Linked DNA regions of Ovis aries. The protein of the gene in region 5 purifies or fractionates together with the protein of the main gene of each other region. This does not show direct contact. Links are inferred from orthologs where the notes say so. Each region holds a gene or a part of one and is shown on either strand. Other genes may lie near its edges. The genes, in order: KAT5, L3MBTL2, BRD8, RUVBL2, MAX, YAF2 and TFDP1.

The links.
Region 1: the proteins of MAX (region 5) and KAT5 purify together in Homo sapiens (affinity purification with mass spectrometry; 3 studies listed by BioGRID and IntAct, with this or other methods). This does not show direct contact. The link is inferred for Ovis aries from reciprocal best matches to the Homo sapiens genes MAX and KAT5.
Region 2: the proteins of MAX (region 5) and L3MBTL2 purify together in Homo sapiens (affinity purification with mass spectrometry; 6 studies listed by BioGRID and IntAct, with this or other methods). This does not show direct contact. The link is inferred for Ovis aries from reciprocal best matches to the Homo sapiens genes MAX and L3MBTL2.
Region 3: the proteins of MAX (region 5) and BRD8 purify together in Homo sapiens (affinity purification with mass spectrometry; 3 studies listed by BioGRID, with this or other methods). This does not show direct contact. The link is inferred for Ovis aries from reciprocal best matches to the Homo sapiens genes MAX and BRD8.
Region 4: the proteins of MAX (region 5) and RUVBL2 purify together in Homo sapiens (affinity purification with mass spectrometry; 3 studies listed by BioGRID and IntAct, with this or other methods). This does not show direct contact. The link is inferred for Ovis aries from reciprocal best matches to the Homo sapiens genes MAX and RUVBL2.
Region 6: the proteins of MAX (region 5) and YAF2 purify together in Homo sapiens (affinity purification with mass spectrometry; 3 studies listed by BioGRID and IntAct, with this or other methods). This does not show direct contact. The link is inferred for Ovis aries from reciprocal best matches to the Homo sapiens genes MAX and YAF2.
Region 7: the proteins of MAX (region 5) and TFDP1 purify together in Homo sapiens (affinity purification with mass spectrometry; 5 studies listed by BioGRID and IntAct, with this or other methods). This does not show direct contact. The link is inferred for Ovis aries from reciprocal best matches to the Homo sapiens genes MAX and TFDP1.

What each region holds. Positions count from the first base shown.
Region 1 is NC_056074.1:40,318,170-40,322,149, forward strand, and holds the start of KAT5 (histone acetyltransferase KAT5), read left to right. Parts: upstream 1-1,180; 5' UTR 1,181-1,196; coding exon 1,197-1,374; intron 1,375-1,701; coding exon 1,702-1,770; intron 1,771-1,856; coding exon 1,857-1,993; intron 1,994-2,280; coding exon 2,281-2,436; intron 2,437-2,525; coding exon 2,526-2,600; intron 2,601-2,700; coding exon 2,701-2,775; intron 2,776-3,108; coding exon 3,109-3,357; intron 3,358-3,438; coding exon 3,439-3,528; intron 3,529-3,980. UniProt on the Homo sapiens protein: Catalytic subunit of the NuA4 histone acetyltransferase complex, a multiprotein complex involved in transcriptional activation of select genes principally by acetylation of nucleosomal histones H2A and H4.
Region 2 is NC_056056.1:218,193,470-218,197,467, forward strand, and holds the start of L3MBTL2 (lethal(3)malignant brain tumor-like protein 2), read left to right. Parts: upstream 1-1,198; 5' UTR 1,199-1,265; coding exon 1,266-1,289; intron 1,290-3,096; coding exon 3,097-3,337; intron 3,338-3,998. UniProt on the Homo sapiens protein: Putative Polycomb group (PcG) protein. PcG proteins maintain the transcriptionally repressive state of genes, probably via a modification of chromatin, rendering it heritably changed in its expressibility.
Region 3 is NC_056058.1:47,270,508-47,274,487, forward strand, and holds the start of BRD8 (bromodomain-containing protein 8), read right to left. Parts: upstream 2,801-3,980; 5' UTR 2,792-2,800; coding exon 2,773-2,791; intron 1,600-2,772; coding exon 1,503-1,599; intron 1-1,502. Other genes in the region: kinesin-like protein KIF20A, read left to right, coding at 3,837-3,980. UniProt on the Homo sapiens protein: May act as a coactivator during transcriptional activation by hormone-activated nuclear receptors (NR). Isoform 2 stimulates transcriptional activation by AR/DHTR, ESR1/NR3A1, RXRA/NR2B1 and THRB/ERBA2.
Region 4 is NC_056067.1:55,305,493-55,308,992, forward strand, and holds part of RUVBL2 (ruvB-like 2), read left to right. Parts: coding exon 1-132; intron 133-1,916; coding exon 1,917-2,046; intron 2,047-2,192; coding exon 2,193-2,259; intron 2,260-3,500. UniProt on the Homo sapiens protein: Possesses single-stranded DNA-stimulated ATPase and ATP-dependent DNA helicase (5' to 3') activity; hexamerization is thought to be critical for ATP hydrolysis and adjacent subunits in the ring-like structure contribute to the ATPase activity.
Region 5 is NC_056060.1:75,272,682-75,276,181, reverse strand, and holds part of MAX (protein max), read left to right. Parts: intron 1-1,462; coding exon 1,463-1,586; intron 1,587-2,059; coding exon of another isoform or gene 2,060-2,076; exon of another isoform or gene 2,077-2,831; coding exon 2,832-3,019; 3' UTR 3,020-3,500. UniProt on the Homo sapiens protein: Transcription regulator. Forms a sequence-specific DNA-binding protein complex with MYC or MAD which recognizes the core sequence 5'-CAC[GA]TG-3'. The MYC:MAX complex is a transcriptional activator, whereas the MAD:MAX complex is a repressor.
Region 6 is NC_056056.1:144,816,565-144,820,064, forward strand, and holds part of YAF2 (YY1-associated factor 2), read left to right. Parts: intron 1-3,169; coding exon 3,170-3,322; intron 3,323-3,500. UniProt on the Homo sapiens protein: Binds to MYC and inhibits MYC-mediated transactivation. Also binds to MYCN and enhances MYCN-dependent transcriptional activation. Increases calpain 2-mediated proteolysis of YY1 in vitro.
Region 7 is NC_056063.1:86,066,332-86,069,831, forward strand, and holds part of TFDP1 (transcription factor Dp-1), read left to right. Parts: coding exon 1-154; intron 155-445; coding exon 446-589; intron 590-914; coding exon 915-983; intron 984-1,171; coding exon 1,172-1,323; intron 1,324-2,382; coding exon 2,383-2,549; intron 2,550-3,161; coding exon 3,162-3,240; intron 3,241-3,500. UniProt on the Homo sapiens protein: Can stimulate E2F-dependent transcription.

The DNA.
Region 1 (3,980 bases), on a different chromosome or scaffold from region 5:
TGGACCCTGAAATTTGAATTTCAGAATTTCCATGTATCATGAAATATTCTATTTATGTCTCCCCAAGCTTTAAAAAGAGTGTGAAGACCATTCTTTGCCCACTGAGCAGGAAAGCTAGAATAGGGTTGGATTTGCCCTGCAGGCTAGTTTGCCTACCTGGTCATTCCCTGCACCTTGTGTATTTCGTTGTTGCTGTTTCCCAAAACACTTATCACTCTTTAATAGACTAGATAATTTATTTTTAAAATATATTTACTGTTTGTGATCCACACCCCTCTTTTCCCTCTCAGCCTCCAAGAATTCAAGCTCCAGGAGCTGCAAGTTATTTTATTCATTGATGTATCCCAGGCTCCTAGATAAAATGCCTGGGACACGGTAACAGATTATTAAACAGTTGTTGAATGTATTAATCAATTCTAAAAGAAATCATCTCTGACTATTCATGGGAAGGACTGACGGTGAACATGAAAACCCCGATACTTTGGCCACCTGATGCGAAGAAAAGACACTGATGCTGGGAAAGTCTGAGGGCAAGAAAAGGGGAGGGCAGAGGATGAAATGGTTGGAGAGCATCACTGACTCAATGGACATGAGTTTACGCAAACTCCGGGAGATAGGGAAAGACAGAGGAGCCTGGCAGTTCACGGGAGTCACAAACAGTCGACACGACTTAGACGTCTGAACAATAACAACTCGTATAATTAGCAACCTAACATACAAAACAAACCTATAAACCTTCTTCCGTGGACCCCCAACCCTAGGAAAGTCCACAACTTGCGGGGGTCCTGGTGCCCACTTTTCGAAATCCGCCCCTCAACCCCCCAGCCGAGCACACGCAGCTCACTCCCCGTGACGCAGCCTTGACGCCACTAGGAGACGGCCAAGCGGCCGCCCGCTAGGCACAAACACCAATCCCACGTGACCGGCGTCGCACCCGGTGAGCGTCACGTGACTGACTCAGTTTTCCTCCAATCGTTGCACACGTTGTGGGGATTCCATCCAGGACCTGACCTGAGCCTTAAAACACCCTATGCCCCTGCCAGCCAAACTGGCCGGCTCCGTCAGCAAGCTGGGCGGCGGTGTCTCTTAAGAACCTACTAGTAAAGCCGCTTCGGGGAAGACGGGGCCTACAACGTGCTCAGTCCCGGAAGTGACGGCTCCCAGAGGGGCCGGAAGTGGCAGTGGAGGGAGGGAAGATGGCGGAGGTGGTGAGTCCGGTGCCCGGGGCGGGGCGGAGGGAGCCAGGGGAGGTGGGTAGAGCCCGAGGCCCCCCAGTAGCCGACCCTGGCGCCGCGCTGTCTCCCCAGGGGGAGATAATCGAGGGCTGCCGCCTGCCTGTGCTGCGGCGGAACCAGGACAACGAAGATGAGTGGCGTGAGTGACGTCGGGGGGCGGGGCTAAGGAACCTGAGGGCGAGGGGCGGGGGGAGAGTCAACCGAACCCCGGGGAGGGGGTGGGGCCTCTAGAATCCTGGAGCGGGCGGGGCGCAGATACTCAGGAGGGGCGTGGCTTTTAGCCTTTAGAGCTGGTCAGGGCAGGGCTTGAAGAGGGGATGGCACTTGGTGACTAACCGGGGCTTTTGAGAGCGGTTCCAAGTGCTGGGGCTTTAGGGTTCGGGCCTGGTGGTGGAGTTCAGATCGTAGGAGGGTGGAGCTTCATGGCCTGGCCAGTCTAAGGCCCTTGCCTTTGCTGTTCCCACAGCACTCGCTGAGATTCTGAGCGTGAAGGACATCAGTGGCCGGAAGCTTTTCTACGTCCATTACATTGATTGTGAGTTCTGGGCCGGGATGAGGTGGGGCTGGAGGGTTGGGGGGCAGCCTCTGGCACTCCTTCCTGAGCCATACCCACTGCTGCAGTCAACAAACGCCTGGATGAATGGGTGACCCACGAGCGGCTGGACCTGAAGAAGATCCAGTTCCCCAAGAAAGAGGCCAAGACCCCCACTAAGAACGGACTTCCTGGGTCCCGACCCGGCTCTCCAGAGAGAGAGGTGGTGAGTAGGTCCCCTGCTTCACCTCTTCTCTCCTGCCTACTTTTAAAATCTCTTGGCCTCAGTGGCTCCCAGATGGGCGACAGGCTGTGCCCTCCCACCCTGGCTTCAGCTTGTAAAGGATGGGGCCCAGACTGCAGATGTAGCTTCCAGAGTCCAGTGACTGTACCTGTGTCCTTGAGAGGGCAGAGGGTGGGGTTTGATCACTCCATGCCGAGGGGACCCTACTCCCCTTCCCCATCCCACCACCATCCCAGCCCCAGAGGAAGACCCTGGACCTATCTCTACAGCCGGCCTCCGCCCAGGCCAGCGGGAAGACTTTGCCAATCCCGGTTCAGATCACACTCCGCTTCAACCTGCCCAAGGAGCGGGAGGCCATTCCCGGTGGCGAGCCCGACCAGCCGCTCTCCTCCAGCTCCTGCCTGCAGCCCAACCACCGCTCAACGGTACCCTCAGCAATTCCAGGGACCTTGCTTTCCTCTCAGGTCCCACCTTCTCTACCTTCTGACCCACCTGTCCTGGTTTCTCTCTGCAGAAACGGAAGGTGGAGGTGGTTTCACCAGCAACTCCAGTGCCCAGCGAGACAGCCCCGGCCTCAGTTTTCCCCCAGGTGAGTCCCCCAAGCCATCTCTTCTGCCCTCCTACCCTCTGATAGCCCCTTTGGGCTCACCTCACAGCCACTCTTTCTGTCCCTCCACTATCATTTGCAGAATGGATCAGCCCGGAGGGCAGTGGCAGCTCAGCCCGGGCGGAAGCGGAAATCAAATTGTTTGGGCACTGATGAGGTAGGTCTGGGGAGGAGGGAAGGGTGAAACGAAGGGGACATAAGGAGGGCACGGGGTTTAGTGACTACTTTAAAAATGAACAAGGGGTACTGGGCAGAAAGGGTGTTGGAATTAGGGGTGAGGCGGAACTGATTCAGATCCTGCACTAGGTGATCTTTATCACCTTCCAGGTGAAAATCATCCAAGTCTTGGTTTCTTCAGTTGGCAAGTGGGGATTGCAGTACCTCCCCTAGGAGGGTTGCTGTTAGGAAACCTGTGGAAGGGCTGTGAGCTGTGGAGTGTGCTGCTTGCGTTGTCTTCTGTAACCTGGTATCTTTCACGGGCCCTGGGAAGGACTCCCAGGACAGCTCAGATGGAATCCCGTCCGCTCCTCGCATGACTGGGAGCCTGGTATCTGACCGGAGCCACGACGACATCGTCACCCGGATGAAGAACATCGAGTGCATCGAGCTGGGCCGGCACCGCCTCAAGCCCTGGTACTTCTCCCCGTACCCTCAGGAGCTCACCGCGCTGCCCGTCCTCTACCTCTGCGAGTTCTGCCTCAAGTATGGCCGAAGCCTCAAGTGTCTGCAGCGTCACTTGGTATGGGGAGTCCCAGGGGCCACCCTCCTAGCAGCACCCCCTCACCTCCGCCCCTGTGCCTGATCCTCCTCTCTTCCTCAGACCAAGTGTGACCTGCGACATCCTCCTGGCAATGAGATCTACCGCAAGGGCACCATCTCCTTCTTTGAGATCGACGGACGTAAGAACAAGGTCAGGGGCTGAAGGGCAGCGGGAAGGCTTTGGTGCCGGGAGTCTGGGGGAGTTGAGTGAGTAGCTTCTTCCAGCTCCGGAAGACACTGACAGTTACAGGGGACAGATCTCTTCACCGCATTTACTGCATTCTTGCTGTAGGCCGGGTGCTGGTAGATAAAAGTGACCAGGAATTTGACAAAATCTCTGTTCTCTGAGAGCTCACAGGGGAAGACAAACAGGCCAGTAGCAGTTTGGATCCCAGTGTGATATGTTTCATGAGAAAAGTGGGCTGTCAGGATCCCAGGGTGATCAGCAAGGCTTCAAAGAGGAGGTAACCTCTGAACCTTGACACAAGGGTAGGGTGGGTACAGGAATCCCCAGCAGCGGGTTCTGAAGGGCAGGAGTGGACGTACTGGCAGAGCCCAGAGATCCTGCAGGTTCAGTTCTAGACCACTGTGACAAGGTGAGCG
Region 2 (3,998 bases), on a different chromosome or scaffold from region 5:
AAGGGCCACTGTTTCCTCATTTGTGAAACAGTGACTGATTGTCCCTGATTTAAGATGTTTGTAAAGCTCCATGATAGAATTTCCTTGATGGCTCAGTGGTAAAGAATCGCCTGCCAATGCAAGAAACAGGGTTCTGATCCCTGGTCCGGGAAGATCCCACGTGCTGTGGAGCAATTAAGCCTGTGTGCCACAACTAATGACCTTGTGTCCTAGAGCTGGTACTCTGCACCAGAGAAGCCACGGCAATAAGAAGCCCACGAATTGCAAGGAAGAGTGGCCCCCACCTTACCCCCACCTCTCTGCAACTGAAGTCCACACAGCAAGGAAGACCCAGCACAGACAAATAAATGAATATATATTTTTTTAAAGCTCTACTACAGCACCTAGAACTGTGAGTAAGGACGGTTGTGGGTCCTTAAAGACCGTTGTGGGTCCCAAAAGAATGAGGCAGAGAGCCTCATATCTGAGGTTTATTTCAGGAGATGGTGATGCAAGGTAGAGTGTTGCAGAATTTTAAGCATGTGGGACATTTATACCATTGGACCTAAGAGTGAGTATTCCAGTTTCTGCCTAAACAGGGAACAGTCTCTCTGCTAGGCATCCCCGCACTAGGGCACGTTTAATTTCTCATCAGGGAAAGGGCGAGGTTTTTCCTGGAGGGTGCCTGAACAGTACTTTCTTACGTGAAGTCACTCAGTCGTGTCTGACTCTTTGCGACCCCATGGACTGTAGCATACCAGGCTCCTCCCTCCATGGGATTCTCCAGGCAAGAGTACTGGAGTGGGTTGCCATTTTCCTTCTCTAGGGGATCTGCCCGACCCAGGGATCGAACCCTGGTCTCCTGCATTCCAAGGCAGACGCTTTAACCTTTGAGCCACCAGGGAAGGTTGCTAGTACCTTCTTAGGTACTCAATAATTGTTTAATGAAGAACGGAGTCGGTGTGATAGCAAGAGGTTACCGTGGAGAAACAAGAACTATCCTCCCGGGTCAGGCAGGTCTGGGGCGGGGAAATTTTCACGGCGCCACAGCAACGACCCCCTCCACGCGCAGCCCAAAGGAAACTACAAGTCCCATAAGCACCCGCGGCTTCCCCGCCTCCAGGGGAGGCGGGGCTCAGGCCAGCGCGGAACCGGCTTTACCTCTTTCCTGCAGCGTGATTGGCCTTCGGCCCTGGGAGGCGGCCAATGAGTAAGCTCCGGGAGAGCGGCGAGGCCAATATGGCTTCCTGCACCTGGTGACGGTTGAAGAAACTGTGTTAGGTCTCATGGAGAAGCCCCGGGGCGTCGAGGTGAGAGGGAGAGGACTTCTCGGAAAGGGAACCCCGAGAGCCTCGCTCGGTGGGCCTTTGAGCGACGCCTGGAGGGTGGAGGATGGAAGAATGGATAAACAGGTAGTTAGGCTGAGCAAGGCCAGAGGCGATTGGCATCGCCTTTTGCTCCCGTTCTCCTGGGTCCGAGTGAGGTTGAGGGAAGAACAGCTTCACTGGCCTGGGGGAAGAGGAACTGGGTTCAGGATATGAGAGCTCCTGAATCTTCCTTCTCCCCCTTGTCTCATGGTGGCCTCTTTAGGGACTGTGAGGCCTGTCACATCCTGGTGGGAAGTAAAGGAAGATTAAAGTTTAATAAACACTCCGTATCTGGAGCGTTCTCGTGCGTTATCCCACAGTAACAAGTCCTGTGTTATTGTCTGTTTTTTATGGATCATGCACCTGAGGCTTGGAGAGGGTAGTGCCACTCCCCAGGAGGGCCACGCAGCTGTAAAGTGAAGGAGATGGGCACTAAGTCTGTCAGGTTCCAAAACTCTCCCTGTTTTGCTTTTCCCATTCTTCCCACCACCTGCAACCCATATATCCTTTCATCATTTGGCTTCTGGTTACCTTATATTTGAATGTCCTTTCTGGCACATTTGCATATGTAGTGTAAATATAAAGTGGAATCGCTCACAAACTCTCCGAGAGTCAAGAAGAATCATCATCAGTGTAGAGTGTGAATGATAACTCCCAGTTTCAGAGCTGTCACTGACTGCTGGGAACAGAACTAGGCTTTACATAGCGCCTGGGTGCGCACAGCAGCACTCTAAAGAAGGCTTGTTACAGCCATTGTACTGATGGAGAAACCGAGAGCCCTAAGTAGGAGAGCCCGGATTCCAGCTCCGGCATATCCGATTTGAGTGCCTGTGCTTTTAACCAGTAATGATCACCAGCATTTATTGAGCACTTGCTGTTTGCATGTCACTATTCTGAGTGCCTTTCCCATAGTAACCCTTACTTCTCCCCCAAAGCCTATGAAATAGGTGGAATTGTCCTCATTTACAGATGGGGAAACCGAGGCACTGAGATTGAACTGCTGCAGGTCATATAGTAGGGATGGTTTTGGAGTCTTGGCCTAGAGCCCAAACGCTTCACACCTTTTCTGCTACATGCCACGTAGATTCATATAGAATACCTCATTTCACATTGCACATCTTTTGAACCAATTTTTTTTGTTGTTGTTTTATAGATGAGAAAAATGAGACCCAGACAGGTTAAATAACTTGCCCAAGGACCCACAGCTAGTTAGGATCAAGGCTAGGTCCAAAGCTAGGTATGTCCCACAGTGCTAGTATGTCATTTGCCTCAAATCCTCTTTAGGGCAGTCTGGGCCCCAAATTAACTTTCGTCTGACTTAAATTGTTTTTGAGTTGAAATTACTTTGGTGTATACCTGCTGAAGGGGGAAGAATGAGTTTCTGGAATACATCTTTTCCAGAATGTCTTCACGAAGCACCATGCTTAGTATATTTTCACATCACTCTGTTCTGTGTGAATTGTGGTAAAATGTCGTCATGTATAAATCCGCAGAGGACCCTGGTGAATTCCTAATACATGTTTCTGTCTGGCTAAGGTATTCTTTTGACTTGCAGTTGAGAAAGGTATAAACAAGAGTAATGATCCTGGTGTTTACGAAAGGGGTGTTTGATTGTACCTGCCGCTCGGCCCAGAAGCGTTGACTTGACCAGGACCTGGAAAGGGAGTTGATAGCAGACCTGCAGTTTCCCTTGTCTTACAGTAAGCCAACCACGATTGCTCCTGCCTGCTTTGTGTCATCCTTTTCCTAGGAGACTCCGTCTTCAGAACCGATGGAGGAGGAAGAGGAAGACGATGACCTGGAGCTCTTCGGCGGCTATGACAGCTTCCGGAGTTACAACAGCAGTGTGGGCAGTGAGAGCAGCTCCTATCTTGAGGAGTCAAGTGAAGCAGAACATGAGGATCGGGAAGCAGGGGAGCTGCCCACCTCCCCGCTGCATCTGCTCAGCCCTGGGACGCCCCGGTCCTTGGACGGCAGTGGTTCTGAGCCAGGTGCCTTCAAAGTGTCCCCCAAAGATAGGGAGGTTTCAGAGGCTATGGATGGAGAGGCAGATGTAGGCCAGGTGGGCGGAGCCGTCCAGGTGTAAAGGGCTCTTTGATCTGATGTCTAAGGACCTGTGAGAGAGACAGAGGCACCCCAAGTATCCCCAAGGGTCATTTCAGTCTGATTTCAAGTTGTGATTTCATTCTTTTCTCACAATTAATATTCATTCAGCACATATTAGATGCCGATCATTAACATGGTGGTGCTTTTGCGTTTGTGTAAATAATAATAGTTGGTGGATTTCTAAGCCTGGGTCTTGAGAATATACGACACCTAATGTGATCTGGTTACTCTCTGGGAAGGGACAAGAAATAGCTCGTGAGTCGGAAGTGAGAGGCAAGGAAATACAGAATTAAGTGACCTCCAGGTAAGAGGATGAGGGCAGATAAGAATCCCTGTGAATCATCTGGAAGCCAGTTGGCGTCAGAGGTGTGATGCTTGTACAGCTGCTGGACCTCGGTGTCAGGGCCTCCAGTGTGGGGACTGCCTGTGCAAAGAGGCAGGTTAGATGGTCTGTGATGACACTCCTGTTTCTTGGTCCCTTTACTCTTTAGAAGAGAAGCATCTAATACTCTTTGCCTCTCCATTCATCCTGTCTTCTTTTCCTCT
Region 3 (3,980 bases), on a different chromosome or scaffold from region 5:
TTCTCTTTGAAAAGTTATTTGAAAAATACATAGAATTGTAGAAGTGTTACATGTGATCAGTAATGGTGCTTTCATAAACTCATTTGAATGGTTAAAGTAGTAGAGATAAACCCTACAAATGCAAATTTGTTTATTAAGTAATTTTAACACTTAAGACAACTAAAAGGTAACTTTAGATACGGAGAGAAAAAAAAAAGTCGGGGGCGGGGAGACCAAATGTTAAAAATGAGACTATGTCCTGGTAGAAAAAAAGATTGGAAAACACACACAGTCCTACTTTCTGGTACTTAAAAGAAACACAAATTAAAACCACAATACAATACCATTTCACACTCAGCAGTATAGCTATAATCAAAAAGACTAAATGTTTGCCAAGCATGCAGAAAAACTGGGTCCCTCATTTATTGCTGGTGGGAATGTAAAACGGTGAGGCCACTTTTTAGTTTGAAAGCAGTTCCTCAAAAAGATAAATATGAGTTATAATATGATCCATTGAGAGTCCCTTGGACTGAAAGGAAATCAAACCAGTCCACCCTAAAGGAAATCAGTCCTGAATATTCACTGGAAGGACTGATGTTGAAACTGAAACTCCAATATTTTGGCCACCTGATTTGAAGAGCTGACTCATTTGAAAAGACCTGATGCTGGGAAAGATTGAAGGCGGGAGAAGGGGACAACAGAGGATGAGATGGTTGGATGGTATCACCAACTCAATGGACATGAGTCTGAGTAAACTCCAGGAATTGGTAATGGACAGGGAAGCCTGGCGTGCTGCAGTCCATGGGGTAGCAGAGTTGGACACGACTGAGTGACTGAACTCAACTATGATCCAGCAATTCCACTCTTTCAAGAGAAATGAAAACATGCCTGCACAAAAGCTTGTACACAAATGTTCACAGCGGCATTAATATTCAGCAAAGTAAAAACCACTCAAATGTTCATCAACAAATGAACAAAATGTGGTAAACCCATACAAGGAACTACAATTTCATCAAAACAAAGAATAAAGTACTGATGCATACTCCAGCATGAACCCTGAAAGCATTATGCTAAGCCCCAGAGTACCACAAAGTATATGATTCCATCTATATGAAATGATCAGAATAAGCTATAGAGAGACAGAAAGTAGATGAGTGTTTGGTGAGGGAGGCGGAAATATTAGAGAGGCGAAGAGATTTGCAGAGTGATTCCTTAAGGGTAAGAGGTTTCTTTCAAGTGTATTTAAAATGTAAAATTAGACTCTAGCATTGGTCCTATGTAAATTATGTGAATTTAATAAATTAAATATTAATAAGTTTTAATAATTTTAATAAATTAAGTTAAATCCTGTGAATATACTGGGAATTCTGTGAATATAATTTTGTGATATGTAATTGCATCTCAAGAAGGCTGTTAACTACTGCTTAAACGTTAACTACTGGAATCCACCGGTACTTACATGAAGGGGAAAAAAAAAAAACGGTTTCTAATACCCAAGGAAGCAGATATCCTAAATACCTTACCAATTTTGATCTCCACTCCTCATGACAGAAGACGCTAAACACAGCTTCTCTCGGATGGACCATGGCTCTGTAGGGCCAGTACTCAGCAGCTTATGTTCTGAAAGATTTAGAGACAACCACTGAGGCACTAAGTCCCAAAGGGAGGATTAAAAGTCTAATACAAAAATGTCCTAACCTGTAAGGACAAAGTGAGCCACTATCACCAAATCTTGATTTTCACCTCTCTAGTAAACACCACCACTAGGATGGTGCCTATTCATTGCTTGAGAACTGCACTTGATTATCTGGCAAAACATTTTTCTGTAAATGCCATGGTTACTCTACCATATTTAAAAAAAAAAAAGTCAAGTTAATTTAGGGCAGTTCTTCCAAAAAACCCAGTTTTAAGAATGCTTTATTCCAGGAACTTCCCTGGTGGTCCAGTGGTTAAGTCTGTGCCTTTTCCCTAGAGGGGACGTGGGTCCCATGATCCTGCCAACCACCAACCTCCCAGCTCTGCCCTGGCCAAAAAAAAAAGAATGCTTTATTCCAAAGTGGACCCCAGGCCTTATTTCCCAGGATTCCGAGCGGCCAACCCCCGCTACTGCCCCGCCTCCTTCTTAGCATAAACTTGTTTACTTCTCTCAGTTACACCCATTCCCCTCAAGCTGTTAGGCCTACAAGACCTTCTCAGTCCCTGAAACAGAGGGAAATGGCTGAGATACAGGAAATGTATTTTTTCCCTAGTGGCAGAAAAAGCTCACGATTAACATGTCCCATCTCTCTGTGAGTACAGGCCTCACAAATGTTCGTCAGAAAATGACTCTTTGGGACCCCGGCCACTCCATATGGCTCACAGCATCTCTGTCCGCACGCCGGAGCCTCTAAGGCACCTTTTTTCCCTCTCACCCCGCAGAGCTGACAAACATACAAGAATTTTCTTAGGCTGCTTTTCTCAAAGCTCCGTGGCCTTGCACACCACAACTAGAGAGGAGCACTCCTCGCGGCAACTAGAGAACAGTCCACGGAAAGCGACGAAGACCCAGCGCAGCCAATAAATAAAAATTCTAAAAGCAAAAAAACTCCGCGGCCTTACTTAAGTGTAAGACTTCACGCTTCTGGGCCCTCAACCCCCAACCGCTGGCCTTAACAGCGCCGCTCGAGCCCAAGTCTCTGATGGCTCTGGGCTCTCAGGTGAATCACTGCTTCTACTCCCTAAGAGTGTGACAGATCTGTTGCCTGGCCTTGGTTCTACAAACACCTTCCACGCAAGAGCAAGGCAGATACTTACTGCCCGTTCCCGTCGCCATCTTGGCCCCGACGTCTCCAACCCCCGAAGGAAGATTTCTGGCCGAATTGAAGCCCAAGGAATTCTGGGAGATAGCGTTCCAGCGTTTATTCGCGGTGCGTCCTGGGAAATGTAGTCCCCTCTCCCCACCCTAGGATGAACCAGCGCCCCAAATCAGGTATTCTTGTGAGTTCCTGAGAAGGAATGTGCGAAAGAACAGAGAATGGTGGCTGAAGCCTTAGGATTTCCTTCAGGCTTCTTAGAAAAGAAATGCCTAGGGTTCAAGAAAAACTGATAAACAGAAGTTCCAGTTGACCCAGCTCCAAAATCCAACAGTTGGTAACCCGTCCCACATTTGAGCAGAGAGGTCAAGCCTAAGAAAACCGTTTCCGGGTTTCGCCCGCCCCCTTGCACTGATTGGTAGGTGCAAGGTTCGCTATCTGATTGGCCGAACGAACTCAGCGCGCAATTTAAAACATTGTATCAGAAACAAAGGTGCGCTTCGTGGGTGGGGTTGTCCTCTCAAGCTGCCGAAAGCCCAGTTTCGGCTGTGGGGTGTGAGTGAGCCGGTCCCGTAGAAGTGTGGCGTCTTTAGGTAAGTGTGCGGCTGAACTTGAGTCAAGTTGGGGCACCTTTGCTCTGGCGGATTAGGCATTCAGAAAGCGGAACTGCCGCCATTTCTGTTTTTCTTAATAATTCTGTCCTCACCGTGGGCCTAGAAGCGAGGTATAGAGAATGAGCCTAGGGCTTCTGACACGGCTGAGGGAGGCTCCCTACTTGGAACTTGGCCTTATGTTTTCGGAGTTAGATATCTGTTCATTCCTGTTCGCGGTCCGAAATGCTGCCTCAGATTGGATTAAATGATTAACTCTTTCTCTCTTTCCCGTTTGCTGGTAGTCGAAAGGAGAAGGGAGTAGGAATTCAGGCAGCGAGACTAGGTTGCCCTGGGGCAAGGGAATTGTTTCTTACCTAGAAAAGAGGGCGAATTCTTCAGCCCCTTTTATCCCTTAAGGTTCTCCTCCCTACCCACTCTTGTCTCTTTTTAGACCTAAACTGCCCCTGCTGCCATGTCGCAAGGGATCCTTTCTCCACCAGCTGGCTTGCTGTCCGATGAGGAGGTCGTAGTCTCCCCCATGTTTGAGTCCACAGCTGCAGATTTGGGATCTGTTATACGCAAGGACCTGCTGTCAGACTGCTCTGTCATCTCCACC
Region 4 (3,500 bases), on a different chromosome or scaffold from region 5:
GCATGGTGGGCCAGCTGGCGGCCCGGAGGGCAGCCGGTGTGGTGCTGGAGATGATCCGAGAAGGGAAGATTGCTGGCCGGGCGGTTCTCATTGCTGGCCAGCCAGGCACTGGGAAGACAGCCATTGCCATGGGTAAGGTGCTTCTCCAGGCAGTAGCTCTTTTGGCCTCACCGGATGATCCTCCCATGTAAGTCAGGGTCAGGTTCAGCCATGTCTAACAGACAGCACAGAATGGAAGTGGCTTAAACACTAAGGCTTTCTTCTGTCACATAGAAGAGTCTAAACATAGGCCAATTCAGGCTTGTTAAGCAGTTCTATGAGGGCTCCTACCTTCTTGCCTCGAGATCACTTGCTTCCATGTCAGGGACACCTTGGGTTACAAAAAGGTGGCCTATGCTCCAGCCATCCCACCCATACTCCATATAAGAAGAAGGAGAAAGGAATTGTAATGAGGGTGTACCTCCTAGAGGGAGCTCCTTTTAAGCAGCTGTCTCAGGGCACCCACATTCTCTTGCTTATATTTTATTGACTAGAAGTTAATGACCACACTCTACTGCACAAGAGAGAGAGAGGCATTAAAACTTTTTTTTATATTTTAATTGGGACTACTGTTACCTTACTGAAATGGGCGTTCTGGAACAAAGGAAGATGTGAAAGATGAGCATTGTATAGACAATCAGCAGTCTCTTTTGCAATTCATTAGTAATTTAAAAGCTTTTTACTCACAACTGTCCCTTATCCTTGTTGAGCTCTTATCTGTCCTTCAAAACTGCTCTCTGACATCTTTTCCTTGTTGAAGGTTTCCTGGAGTCTCTTCCCACTCACTCTCACCTTTGTGCCTGGACTGTGGGGCCAGGCAGTGAGACTCAAGGCAACAGCTAGGTCCTCAGTTAAGAAAAAGTAACACTCATATTTGGGGACACCAAGATGATTAAGACCAAAGTCCTGACTTTAAGGGGCTTCCAGCCTGGGGCAGGTGTTAGTGGACACAGTCCCGTCCATGTAGAGAACAGAGGAGGCTTCTCCTCCGATGAAGGGTGATGGGGAGAGAATGGGGTGGCAGTTGTCAGGAGGGACATCCCAGGTGAGTCAGTACTGGAACTGAGACTCGCAGGAAGTCTGGGAGTCTCCTGAACAGACAGTACGGAACATGATACCCAGGTGCAGAGTGTGGCATGCCTCTGGAAAGGGGACCAGGAAGAGTTGCCACCTCGCACTGGTCAGGAGGGTTCAGTGACTTCCTGTCTGGGAGACTTGGCTCAGAGCTGGGCAGAGCCCCCAGGAAGGGGAGCTGGCAGAGAGGCCCGGAGCTTGGAGTGATGGCAGGAACTGCCCACTGTCTGCCAGCTGACCCCAGGCCCCAGACCATAGAGGAGGCCCTTCCCTGTGCTGGTCCCAGGTCACATATCGGGGTCCCGGCTGAGCACCAGGGCATGCCTGCCCGCCCTTATCATTGCTCCTATGCAGCAATGTCGTTCCCTGCCAGCGCTTGTTATGTTATGGTTCCCATTACCCAGAGGGGCAGGCTGGCTTGGGGAGCAGCTTAGGCTTCTTAAGATAACTTGGTGCTAAGCATTGAAGCCGGGATTCGAACCTGCACAGTCTCTTTTAACCTCTTTCAGCCCCTTGCCTCCACCCCTGCTCATCCCCCCCAAGCCCTGAGGCTAAACAGCTCTCAGAGGTTGGGAGGCAGGTCCAGCATGACTGTAGAGTCATAAAGTTTTTGGTCTGGGCAGTGTGGGGTTCCAACCCAGGGCCTCCCAACATGGCCCGCCATCACTCACTTTCTGCAAGTCTCCCTGTCTGCCCCACAGCACCGAGCCCCTTTTTCCTGTCTGAAGAAGAAGAGCTGGTTAGGGAGATGTGAGGACCTCGTGCCTGGACCACCTACCCAAACTGCCTCCCCTCTTCCTCAGGCATGGCGCAGGCCTTGGGGCCCGACACCCCATTCACAGCCATCGCAGGCAGTGAGATCTTCTCCTTGGAGATGAGCAAGACAGAGGCACTGACCCAGGCCTTCCGGCGCTCCATCGGCGTGCGCATCAAGTAAGCAGGAGTAATGGTAGCTCCCAGCAGCCTTGGGACGCCACCTGAGGGATGCCAGCTCGTCCTGTGCCCAGGGGCCCACAGGGGTGAGCAGTTCCTGAGGGCCCAGGCCGCGAGCTATCTCCTTAGATCTGTTCTCTCGCCAGGGAGGAGACCGAGATCATCGAAGGGGAGGTGGTGGAGATCCAGATTGATCGGCCGGCCACAGGGACGGTGAGTGTGCTCCCAAGTCTAGGCTACCCCAAGGGCTGGGGGTGGGTAGGGTGTGCTGGGTCTGCACTGAGGTCAGAATCCCATGGAAAGTTCGAGATGCAGCTTAGAGTCATCCATATGCCGGCAAGAGAGGGTCGGTTGAATTGATGGCGGTTTGTCCGTTTGTGAGGGGCACAGTGAGCTAAGTGGTGGAACAATGGAAAAGGATATGGAAAAGAACATATTTATGTCTAACTGGATCACTTTGCTGTACAGCAGAAATTAACGCAATATTGTAAATCAACTATACTTGCCCCAAAAAACAAACCAAGCAATGGAATGACGGAGGAGGTCTTGAAGTTTCTCACAGTTAATTCCTAATAGTTAGGCTTACAGACCCGTTGGATTTATAAATCTTAGTACCTCAACTGTACTAACAGTACTAACAGTAAGAATTAACAGGACTTCCTGGTGGTCCAGTGGTTAGGACTCCGCAATTCCACCACAGATTCAATTCCTGGTCAGGGAGCTAAGATCCTACGCGCCTCTCAGCCATAAAACCAAGGCAAAGCAGAAGCAATATTATAACAAATTCAATAAGGACTTTAAGAAATGGTCCACATCCAAAAAAAAAAAACTTTAAAAAAAGATTTAAAAAAACCCTAAAACTTAGCCAGCACCTCCAACCCTGCCCCTTCCTCTGCCTCTTTCCACAGTACCCCATAGAAATAGCCGCCCTCACCCGTTGGAGTTTCATTAGCTTTTATCACCCAACTGTGTATTCCAAGACTGCCCATTTTAAAAACTTATATGTCTTTTAAGTCTTCTGTCATAGTCTGGTTTCCCCTTCATCTCTTTCTCTCTCTTTCAGTTTTTCTGTAGGTCTGTTTTTCACTGACATAAAATCACACAACATAAACTAACCATCAACCCTTTCAGAGTTGCTCCTCCTCCCCTCCCACGCCACCTGCAGTCCCTGGCAACCACAAATCTACTTCCTGTCTTAATGGACTTGCCTCTGATGGAATCTAAGAATATATGACTTTTTGTGTATGTCTTCGAGGTTCAGCAGTGTTTGTAGTTCTCTGTTAAATATTAAGTTACAGGTGTTAATAAAATGCAAAATAAAAGGAAGTCTAAAATTGCTTCAAATCCATTGACCTGATGCACAGTCCTACCTTCTGTTTCTGTGTCTTGCAGGAACACCCTCCTCTTTTTTCATTAGCTTCTCATTTTCAGTGGAAATAGACTTAAAGTGAATA
Region 5 (3,500 bases):
TGTGCAGAGCCAAGGCTAATTCCTGGCACACACAAGGTGACCACCCCGGCCAAAAGCCGTCCTTCCCGTGGCCTTTGTAATCTGTACCACTCAAGTTACGCTTGTTGGTACTGCCCTGTGATTTGTCTGTATATAGATATGTTTATCTCCTCAACTAGATAGTAAGTAAGCATCTGGGCAAAGAGGCCATGACTAATACATTTTGTTTCCCCACAGTGTCTGCTCTGTGCCTGACACATAATTCACACCAGATAAAAATGGTTGAATATGAACAGTTTCCTTTTGAGGAAATTGCCTTAAGGATGCCATAAGAGGAAAGCCTGGAGACTCTAGTGCTTGGGAGAACGGGTGAATCAACCTGGGTCTTCCAAACCTCTCTGATACCCGGCCGTGCTGGAGTCTATGAGTTGCGATTGTCAGGGTTTACTACAAGTGGGTATAGTTTTGCTCGCCCAAGTGTGGCTGTTTTCTTTGCCATTTCAGAAGCTTTGCTCCTGCTCAGGAGTCTCAGTGGCATGACTGCCGGACTTCAGCCACTAGACTAGCTTGTCTCGGGCTTCTGTTCTCTGGGCCTTGTACCATTCTGCCAGTTCAGTCAGTTGACTGCTTGGTCATGAGTAACTCAGGCCATGTTTGCAACCCTGCAGGGAATCTCCCAGACAAGTTTGACCTCCAGGATTCAAGTAACCTGACATCCATTTTATTAGCTCATTAACTTGTTCCTCTACAGGGCAGTCCCTAGGCTACCCTCAGCCATGGTAAAGGTGTGGTTGCTTCCTGAAATGGCCCAATCTCATGCCCTTCCTGTGTTGACACCAAGCTCTGACAGCTTTCACAAACTTCTCTTTAGCCAGAGAGGTTGAAATAGTGACTCGGTCACATGGCTTAGTTGGAACTAGTTAACAACAATCTGAGTACTTGTCTGAAGTCTCAGACCTTGATGAAAACCTTTGTACCCATCCCCATCCTGAGCCAGCTCCAGCTGAGATCTTGATTTTGTCTTTCTGGACCAGCTGCCTATAGCTAGGCCCAGCAGAGAGTGAGTGACCTTAGCTCTCAGTTAAGTGGTAGTTTAATTTTTTCAGAACAGCCTGGCCGAAGATGTGAAAGCAACCTAAAGAACCAAAGAGGCTGGCTGGGAAACAAGTTCAGGGTTGAGACAGAGCTGAGTTTGAATCCAGACTCTACACCCTTTAGCTGGTGATTTTGAATAAACCAGTAAACTTCTCTGAGACTCGGGTTCCTAGTGGAACCACCTTTCTTAGAGTGCCAGTGAGGTAAGCTGTGGAAAGCAGCTGGTGCCTTGACCGGCATAAAGAAGATTCTCTACAGCACTTAGTGCTTCGTGCCCTTCCCCTCCTACTTCTGTCCCCCACGTGGCCTTTGCTGAAAGGAATGGTTTCCTTGCTGCATGGACTAGGTCTTTATTTTGTCCCCTCTGCTTTTTCTCATATTGCAACAGGCATCCCGGGCCCAAATCCTAGACAAAGCCACAGAGTATATCCAGTATATGCGAAGGAAAAACCACACACACCAGCAAGATATTGATGACCTCAAGCGGCAGAATGCTCTCCTGGAGCAGCAAGGTGAGCAGTGGAGCTTGTGGGGCAGCTGGCCCTGCTGTGCGCCAGCCAGGTCAGGGCCTCACGCCGGGGCCTGCAGAGTCAGAACCAGTGACGGAGCCATGCTCCTGAGCAGCTGCAGCCCTGCTGCTTGGGCCTGTAGTCGAGTGTAGCCATCCTGAGGAAGGACCTGAGCCCTTGGTGAGGGAACAGTGGAGTCTAAGGCTTAGCCATCTGGATTCTTTTTTCTGACCTGCTCGCTCTCCCCTTCTTGGGGCCCAAGTGTTGCACTGGTAGTAGAGATCGCAGCTGGCCTCAGGTGCCTCAAAAGAGCTGTGAGGTCCTTGGATTGGAGTGTGCTGTGTAAGCGCCAGAGACTCCAGGTGTTCAGGGACAGTGAGCGCTCCCCGTGTCAACGGTAGTCCACTCAGGGCAGCCCATGGGCCAGGCCCATGCTGTTCTCCAATGCTCACACCCGCCTTTTCCTACAACCACAGGGGAAAGCGAGAGCTGATCAAGTTCTTTGTTCCTGGGGAATTCACTTCTCTTCCTCCCTCATGGAAGATGCAAGTAAAAGGAAATGCAAGTAACCATCTGGGTTAGAACATCTCAAATAAAATAAACTAAACCAAAATAAATGGGTTGACCTTCCAGGCTCAAGACGAGCTGAACCGAGGGATGGGCAGTGGGAGGCGGCAGCGGGTTGGTTACCGGGCCAAGCAGCCTGCATGTAGGGGCTCCGTGTTGGAAAACCCAGGTACTCTGTGTATTGGTGACTTGCTTCCAAGTGTCCAGCTTGTCTTTCCAAGTGGATCTTGTACATGAGAGCTAAGCCAAAACTTTTCTTTGGCTGGTACATCTTCTGTCATCCTTCCCTGCTAATGTGTGACCCTCACACCCTTGTGGAGCCAGGCATTGCTGGGCCAGCTGCACTGTTACTGCACTGCTGGGTCCCGCAGCGAGCTCGTGTTCCTCTCTCTGTACTGGGCTTCCACGGCAGGATGGTGACCTCACACGCCTTCTCTTCAGGGTTGGGTGGCCTTGCAGAGTGGCTGGCCGTATCCACTGAGCACTCGTGTCTGGCTGGGAAAGGCAAAGGGAAGTGGGAGTGTGCAGGTGGGCCAGCCAGCGGAAGGGAGTTACTTATGAGCCACCCTGAGCCTCAGGGGCCAGCATGCCCTCGGAAGAACAGGCTGGACCCCAACCCAAGACTCAGTTCCTCCCCTAGTCTCCAGAAGGCTGTAACCCGCTCGCTTGGTTGCCTTTCAGTCCGTGCACTGGAGAAGGCGAGGTCGAGTGCCCAACTGCAGACCAACTACCCCTCCTCAGACAGCAGCCTCTACACCAACGCCAAGGGCAGCACCATCTCTGCCTTCGATGGGGGCTCGGACTCCAGCTCGGAGTCGGAGCCCGAAGAGCCCCAAAGCAGGAAGAAGCTCCGGATGGAGGCCAGCTAAGCTCCACGGGGCAGGCCAGCAATAAAAACTGTCTGTCTCCTCCGTCGTCTCATCCTCCTTTCAGTTCATCTTTAGAACTCTCAGAACCATTTAAGAGACTCTTTGTTTTTTTTTTCCTCTTTCTCATTTTTTTTTTAAATTTTATTTTTACGTAGAAGCTCTTGGACAACAGCTCTCGTTCTCCTTCCCCGTTTCCACTTTTTTTTTTTTTTTTTTTTAACGTTTCCCTTCAGGGATTCCCTGTCCCCACCAGGAATTTTTAAACCAAAACACCCCAACTTGGCAGCTTTCTCTGTGGAGGACAGACGGCCGGCCAGACCTCTGAGCACATGGTGTCCTGACCACCCACCAGCTCCTCCAGCCCCTCCAGGCACATGCCCGGGGGACTCCTGCCCCACCCAGGCCTCTCCTTCTGGGCCATCCTCACCTCTGTTTGATAGACTTTGTGAATCTGTGGACTGCTCTACTTTCAGAAGATGAC
Region 6 (3,500 bases), on a different chromosome or scaffold from region 5:
GCAGTTTTATTGTAAGGTTCATGAAGTTGGAAATTAGCTTTCTTTCTTTCTTATGTAAAAGTGGGAGTGATTGAGGAACTGTGTCTCATAAGCAACATGTACCAACTTGGAGACAGATACTGATGGGGAAGGAGTGATTGATAGCGTTGTAAAAATATTAAGTACCTAACTACAACACAGCAGTTACATTCCTAAAAACTTCGTGATCAGAGAATGCATGATTGAGACAGTTTCATCTTAAGGGAAATACTGTATTGAGGTTAATAATGAATCCAGAAAAACCTAGAAAAATATTCAGTTTTGCTTAAAAACAGCACTAAAGAAAGAGAATATACATGATTATGTATCTGAAGTTAGTGATAATGGCCTCTAAATAACCAACGTCAATTTACTGATTGATGGAAACATCAGGATTTCTACTCTAGAATGTGAATTTAAAAAATTTTTCAATTTATTGAAATTCAGTTGAAAATTTTTATAAATTTATTTTGTATTCAATTTTAGGTTTAAGGGAGTAACAGTACAAACTGTATTAAAGGAAGTTGTCAAACTTCCATTTGTTATGGCAGGAAGAGATTCAGACACCCATAATACCTTGGGAGACAAATGATGACTACACCTCAGTTGCATTATATAGCTTGGAGTGACTCTCAATTTTAGGTGACTCACTGTTCACCAGGCACTAGTCTAACCAAATCTTTTCACAACCTGCCACACCTTTGAACTTTCTTTCTCTTTGCATACCCTAGAATAATTAAAAGAGAAATTAATTCCTGCTGCTCTTGCCTTTCACTGCTTGCTTGCTTCTATGTAGTGAGTGGTTGATCCTGTGAATAAGCGTAGAGACAGTATTCCTTTCCTTTAAAAACATCTTTGTGGGTGAAGGGTGGAGGGGAGGTTCAAGAGGGAGGAAACATATGTATACTTATGGCTGATTGTAAAGTAGTTGTCTTCCAATTAAAATTTTTTAATAAATGCAGAAAACCTTTCCTCATTAAACCTGATTTTATCATTCATTCATTTTTCAACAAATATTAGGTATCTAGTATTTTCCAATACTATGCTAGGTACTAGTTATCCAGTGGTATATAAAACTGATACCGTGTCTTTCTTTGTGGAGTTTATACTCTAGATGAGAAAACAGATGGTAAAATTAAAATTGCGACTGCTTCCTTAAAACTCCCTGTGTTCCTTACTTTTCTTTTCTTCCATGGCATTTATTCACATCTAAGAGCTTGTTTTTTTGTTTAATTTCATCCACAGAATACTGGTTACATGAGAACAAGCAAGAGTTTCTGTACGTTTTGCTAAGGGACTATGTTGGTTGAGAAGTGAGAAAGGCATGTTTAATTAGTCACCATATCCCCTTGATTCTGCTTCTTCATTCTGTCCTTAAATAACCCCATGGCCTCTTCCATTTAGTTCAAGCCCTTTTTATTTTTGCCTGATCTGTTAAAGTAGCTTTCCCTGCCTCTGTAGTACCTTTCTTTTCCATATTGCTGCCAGTAATTTTCGTAAAATTCAAGTCTGAATTTCTTCAGTGATCTCCCATCTTTAAAGAGTAAATCAGGCTCCTTGGCTCTGCATTATCAGGTTCCTTCATATCTTTTTTTCATTTCTCTGCTGCTCCCTGCTCTCCATCTTAAACTCTTTGCTGCAGTAATGTTAATATATTACACTCCTTCACACTTCTTTGCAAAGTGTGGTGGCTGGACCAGAGGCTTCTGCTTAACTGGGAAGCTATTAAAAATGCAGATTTTAGGCTCTATCTGAGACCTACTGAATCAGAACCCTGGGAGCAGAGCTAAGCAAGCTAAACAAGACTTTCTAGTAATCCTGATGTACCTTAAATTTGAGAACCGGTGCTTTAGTACTTTTTCTTTTAAAGTTTATTTCCTGAACAAGCTCAGCCAATAATATTTTCATCTATGTAACTCTTGATATGTATCATTAACCCTGCCTGGTATCTGGGTCAGCCCTACTTTTTAAACTGTATTCTGGACATCTTTCCTGGATATTCTACCTGTACTTCAGACTCCGTTGGTTCTAAACAAAATTCAATATCCATCTATTAAGATGTTTTATATACTGCATCTCCTGTTTCCTCCTTCAAAGGATTCCTTCCTCCTTGCAGCTTTGAAAGCTAGATTGTGCAATATTTTCTCTTTGGTTTCTATTTTGTCTTGTTTTAGAAGAACAGAGGAAAAAAATTTTTTTAATAGTTGTGCTGACCAAAATAGGATCAGGATTTTCCAGGCAATAGATTACTGTTGTTTGTAGACCATCTGTTATGATTTATTTTTATCTTATTTTTCCCTATTTTGTTCCTCCCATCTTTTTTTCCCCTCTTTAGTAGTCTTTCTCATTTTAAGAGACTATTAGCTTTGAATCTTGACCTCAGCCACCCACACTGTACCATAAAGTTGGTGGGATCCTTGACCCTGGGCTAATAGAGTGACAACTGGTACCAAAGGCTGTAGTCTGGCAACGTTTCATCTCTCTCCGTACAGTTTTGCAGTAGGTTCTCAGTACATTTATTTATTTATTTTTAATAAGTAAGCTAGGCAAGTCTCAAAAGACTGGGAAGATCTCCAAGTTCAAAAAAGCACAGTGAAATTGTGGCTAGATAGGTAAGGAACCTTAAAGACTTTAACAATAAGGAGAAAATGTACTGAATGAATAAATGAAAGATTTTTAAAGAAAAGAATAGCCGCTGTCACAGATGGTGAGATATTTCCTTCTCTGAGAGAGGAGGGATACATTTAGATTTTACTTCAGTGTAAACTTTCAAGTTTAATTTAAAAGTTTCATGTTTGTTTATATGTTTGCTTCCCCATGAGCACAGTTTGATATACATTTTTAATAATTTTCATGTTGATTTACGTGACAGTTACATTTTAATAGTTTGACTATATATCTTGGACAATAACTTTGAACCGTTATTATAGTTCTATTTTTGTTGACTAGGAAAGACAATAATGTATGTGTGTGTGTATATACATGTATATATATCTGTTAAATTGCATATCTGAATTACCTTACATATGAAAAATTTTTATATGTGAAAATCACAATATATATCTATTCTCATAATTTGAGGTATTCTCATAAAAAATCATGTTCTTAAATTATAGTAAGAAAAAAACCTTTGTTTTTAACATGTACACAGGAAACCTCGACCTGTCTCCCAGTTGGTTGCACAGCAGGTTACTCAGCAGTTTGTACCCCCTACACAGTCAAAGAAAGAGAAAAAAGATAAAGTAGAAAAAGAAAAAAGTGAAAAGGAAACAACTAGCAAAAAGAACAGTCATAAGAAAACCAGGTAAATTTGAAGAGTGTTTTAATGGTACTTTTGAAATAATATAATTAACCATTTAATATTGTCTTTTAACACTGATATATAAAGTAGAATGTGAAATATGTAGAAATAAAAGATTTCATCTGTTTTACTATGTCATGAAAGTATTTTTTCAAGTTGAAGATATTAGAAACTAAATATG
Region 7 (3,500 bases), on a different chromosome or scaffold from region 5:
GAAAGGAGAGAAGAACGGGAAGGGGCTGCGGCACTTCTCCATGAAGGTGTGCGAGAAGGTGCAGCGCAAGGGGACGACGTCCTACAACGAGGTGGCCGACGAGCTGGTGGCCGAGTTCAGCGCGGCCGACAGCCACATCCTGCCCAGCGAGTCGGTGAGCGCGTCGGGCGGGCGGGTGCGGAGGCGGCCCCGGAGCCCTGGAGAGGCCGCCCCGCCGCCTCCCGCGGGTGCGGAGGCCCCGGAGCCCTTGGGAAGGATGTTTCTTGACCCGCTGGTGCCGGGAAGCTGTCGCATCCCTGTGGCATCTGCTCGCTCCTGTGGGCCGTGTGGGGGCCGCCCTGGGCGGGGGGTGGGGGGGCAGCGTGTGGCCTCGGGTGTGTCCGGGGCTCGCGTGCCGCTGTGCGCGTGGTCCTGGGCCGTCGGGAACCCCCCGCGTCTCTGCCAGGCCTACGATCAGAAGAACATCCGGAGGCGCGTGTACGACGCGCTGAACGTGCTCATGGCGATGAACATCATCTCCAAGGAGAAGAAGGAGATCAAGTGGATCGGCCTGCCCACCAACTCCGCCCAGGAGTGCCAGAGTCTAGAGGTGCCCGGCTGCCCCCCTGCGGTGCTGGGCGGGCCTGGGAGTGCCGGGCGCCTCTGTGCTGCCCCTGGCGGTGACCCGGGGCTGGAGGCTGATGGCCCGCTTGGCCTGCGGGGGTTTCCACGCCCAGAGGAGCGGAAGTCGGGTGGAGGCGGCACAGTCCTGAGACGGAGGAGCCGCCCGCACGCCTGGCAGCAGCTGCCTCCTCTGGCCCCCGGCCCCTATCAGGCTCAGGGCTCGTGTCTTTGGTGACCGTGTTGCCTTGGATTTTAAAATATGCTTCGGAAACGAACCGCTATGGTTTTGTTTTGGTGTTTGATCTGTGAAGGTGGAGAGACAGAGGAGGCTGGAAAGGATAAAGCAGAAGCAGTCGCAGCTTCAGGAGCTCATCCTGCAGGTTAGGGGCCCCTGCGCGGAGGCTGCCCTCCAGGCACTCGGTTCCGGGCGTGCTTCCCCTGGCCTCTCGGGGGACCAGCCTCCTCGGTGTTGGCTGGGGCTGGGCAGGGCCGTGGCAGATGCCCAGGGGGAGGTTAGCTGTTCAGTGGCCGCGGGCCTCAGCGTGGGCCCACTGTGCGTCTTTTTTAGCAAATCGCCTTCAAGAACCTGGTGCAGAGGAACCGCCAGGTGGAGCAGCAGGCCAGCCGGCCGCCCCCGCCCAACTCGGTCATCCACCTGCCGTTCATCATCGTCAACACCAGCAAGAAGACCGTCATCGACTGCAGCATCTCCAACGACAAGTAGGCGTGAGGGGGGCTCCGCCCACGGGTGTGGGCGGGGCTTGCTGTGCCCGCCGGCGTGGGCGGGGCCTGCTCTGCCCCGCTGTGTGGGAGGGGCCTGCTCCACCCCCCCCCGCTGTGTGGGCGGGGCCTGCTCTGCCCGCGAGCGTGGGTGGGGCCTCCTGCTCTGCCCCCTGCTGCATGGGCGGAGCCTGCTCTGCCCCCGCTGTGTGGGAGGGACCTGCTCTGCCCAGCTGTGTGGGAGAGGTCTGCTCCCCCCCCTGTGTGGGCGGGGCCTGCTCTGCCCCCGCACCCCCTCCCCCCGCTGCATGGGAGGGGCCTACTCTGCCCCCCATGTGTGGGCGGGGCCTACTCTGCCCCCTGCTGTGTGGGCGGGGCCTGCTCTGCCCGCGAGCCTGGGCGGGGCCTACTCTGCCCCCTGCTGCATGGGCGGAGCCTGCTCTGCCCCCGCCGTGTGGGAGGGGCCTGCTCTGCCCAGCTGTGTGGGAGAGGTCTGCTCTCCCCCCCCCGCTGTGGGCGGGGCCTGCTCTGCCCCCCCACCCCCTGCCCCCGCTGCATGGGAGGGGCATACTCTGCCCCCCATGTGTGGGCGGGGCCTGCTCTGCCCCCGCTGTGTGGGCGGGGCCTGCTCTGCCCACGAGCATGGGCGGGGCTTGCTCTGCCCGCCAGCGTGGGTGGGGCCTGCTCTGCCCCCCCTGCGTGGGCGGGGCCTGCTCTGCTCCCCCCCCTGCGTGGGTGGGGCCTGTTCTGCCACCCCCCCCCCCCCCGCTGCGTGGGCGGGGCCTGCTCTGCCCGCGCTGCGTGTCTGACAGGCCGCGTGGCGCGGCTCCCAGGGAGTTCACTGGCGGGTTTCCTTACCCGGGCTGTGCAGCTCCTTGGAAAGGAGGGCGGCGGGGCGCATCAGGACGGCAGGCGGCACCTGGGGCCTGTCCCGGTGGCGTCGCTGCCTCCGATGGGTGGGTTGTGTGCCGGGGGAAGGTTTGCGGGCTCGGGGCCCCAAGTCAGGCGTCGGCTCTGTCCTGGATATGGTGCTTTTCTGACGGTGACCGTCGCCTCCAGGTTTGAGTACCTGTTCAATTTCGACAACACGTTTGAGATTCATGATGACATCGAGGTGCTGAAGCGCATGGGCATGGCCTGCGGGCTGGAGTCCGGCAGCTGCTCCCCCGAGGACCTGAGGGTGGCCAGGAGCTTGGTGCCGAAGGCGCTGGAGCCTTATGTGACAGGCCAGTGGCATGGGGGGGGGGTCACCTGCCCGCGGGAGGCGCAGAAGCAAGGGGGGCGGGGGCTGAGGGGGCTCGCGGTTCCGGGGGGGTGGTGCTGCCTGTAGGGTTCGCAGCTGAGCAGGTGTCTGGAGTCTGTCCTGCTGCCCCCCCGCCCCGGCCAAGCTGGGGATCCTGGCAGCGGCGGGGGGCGCTCTGGTGAGAGGAGAGGCCTCCCTGTGCCCCCCTGGTTGTGGGTTCCCTCACGAGCCCCGCATTGGGTGGCCTGGGGGCTCCCAAGCCCTGCAGGACGTCCGTGAAGCAGCTCCTGCTCTCCGACCCCCAACGCCAGCGGCTGCCCCGCCGACCCCTGCTGCCCACCTGTCGGCGTGGTGGTCCGGCCGGGCGGAGGGGAGGGTTGCGTCCGGGAGGCGGGGCGGGGTCCCGCCGGGAGGCGGGGCGCGGGAGCCGGCCCCCTTTGGCCCGTCCGTCTCCTGGAGGCCGTGTCCCTTCCCGGCCCTGCAGTGCCGTCTTCGCCCCTCTCCGGAGGGTGCCCAGCCCGGAGCCATCGGCCCTGTCTCAGCGCCCTGTGGGCTCTGCTTCGTGACGTTTGCCTCGTTTTCTTCCTCTTTGCAGAAATGGCTCAGGGGTCGCTCGGCGGTGTGTTTGTCGCGTCGGCAGTGTCGACGTCTAACGGCACGCGGCTGTCTGCCAGGTAACTGCGCCCCCAGAGCCGCGCGGCCACCCTCCCCGGCGGGAAGCCGGGGTCTCATGTGAGCGGCCTCCGTCCTGCTTGGAGCCGGGCTCCCTGCGCAGCGGACACCAGGGCCCCAGGGTCGTCCGGAGCTCGTGCTCTGGGCAGAGAAGCTGTTTGTTCTGATGAGAGTTTCCCTGTAAAGACCAGGAGGGGTACATGGATTTTATTTTCTTTTGAAGTAATTCAGTGCCGCGGCGGCAAAACCGCCTGAACTGCGT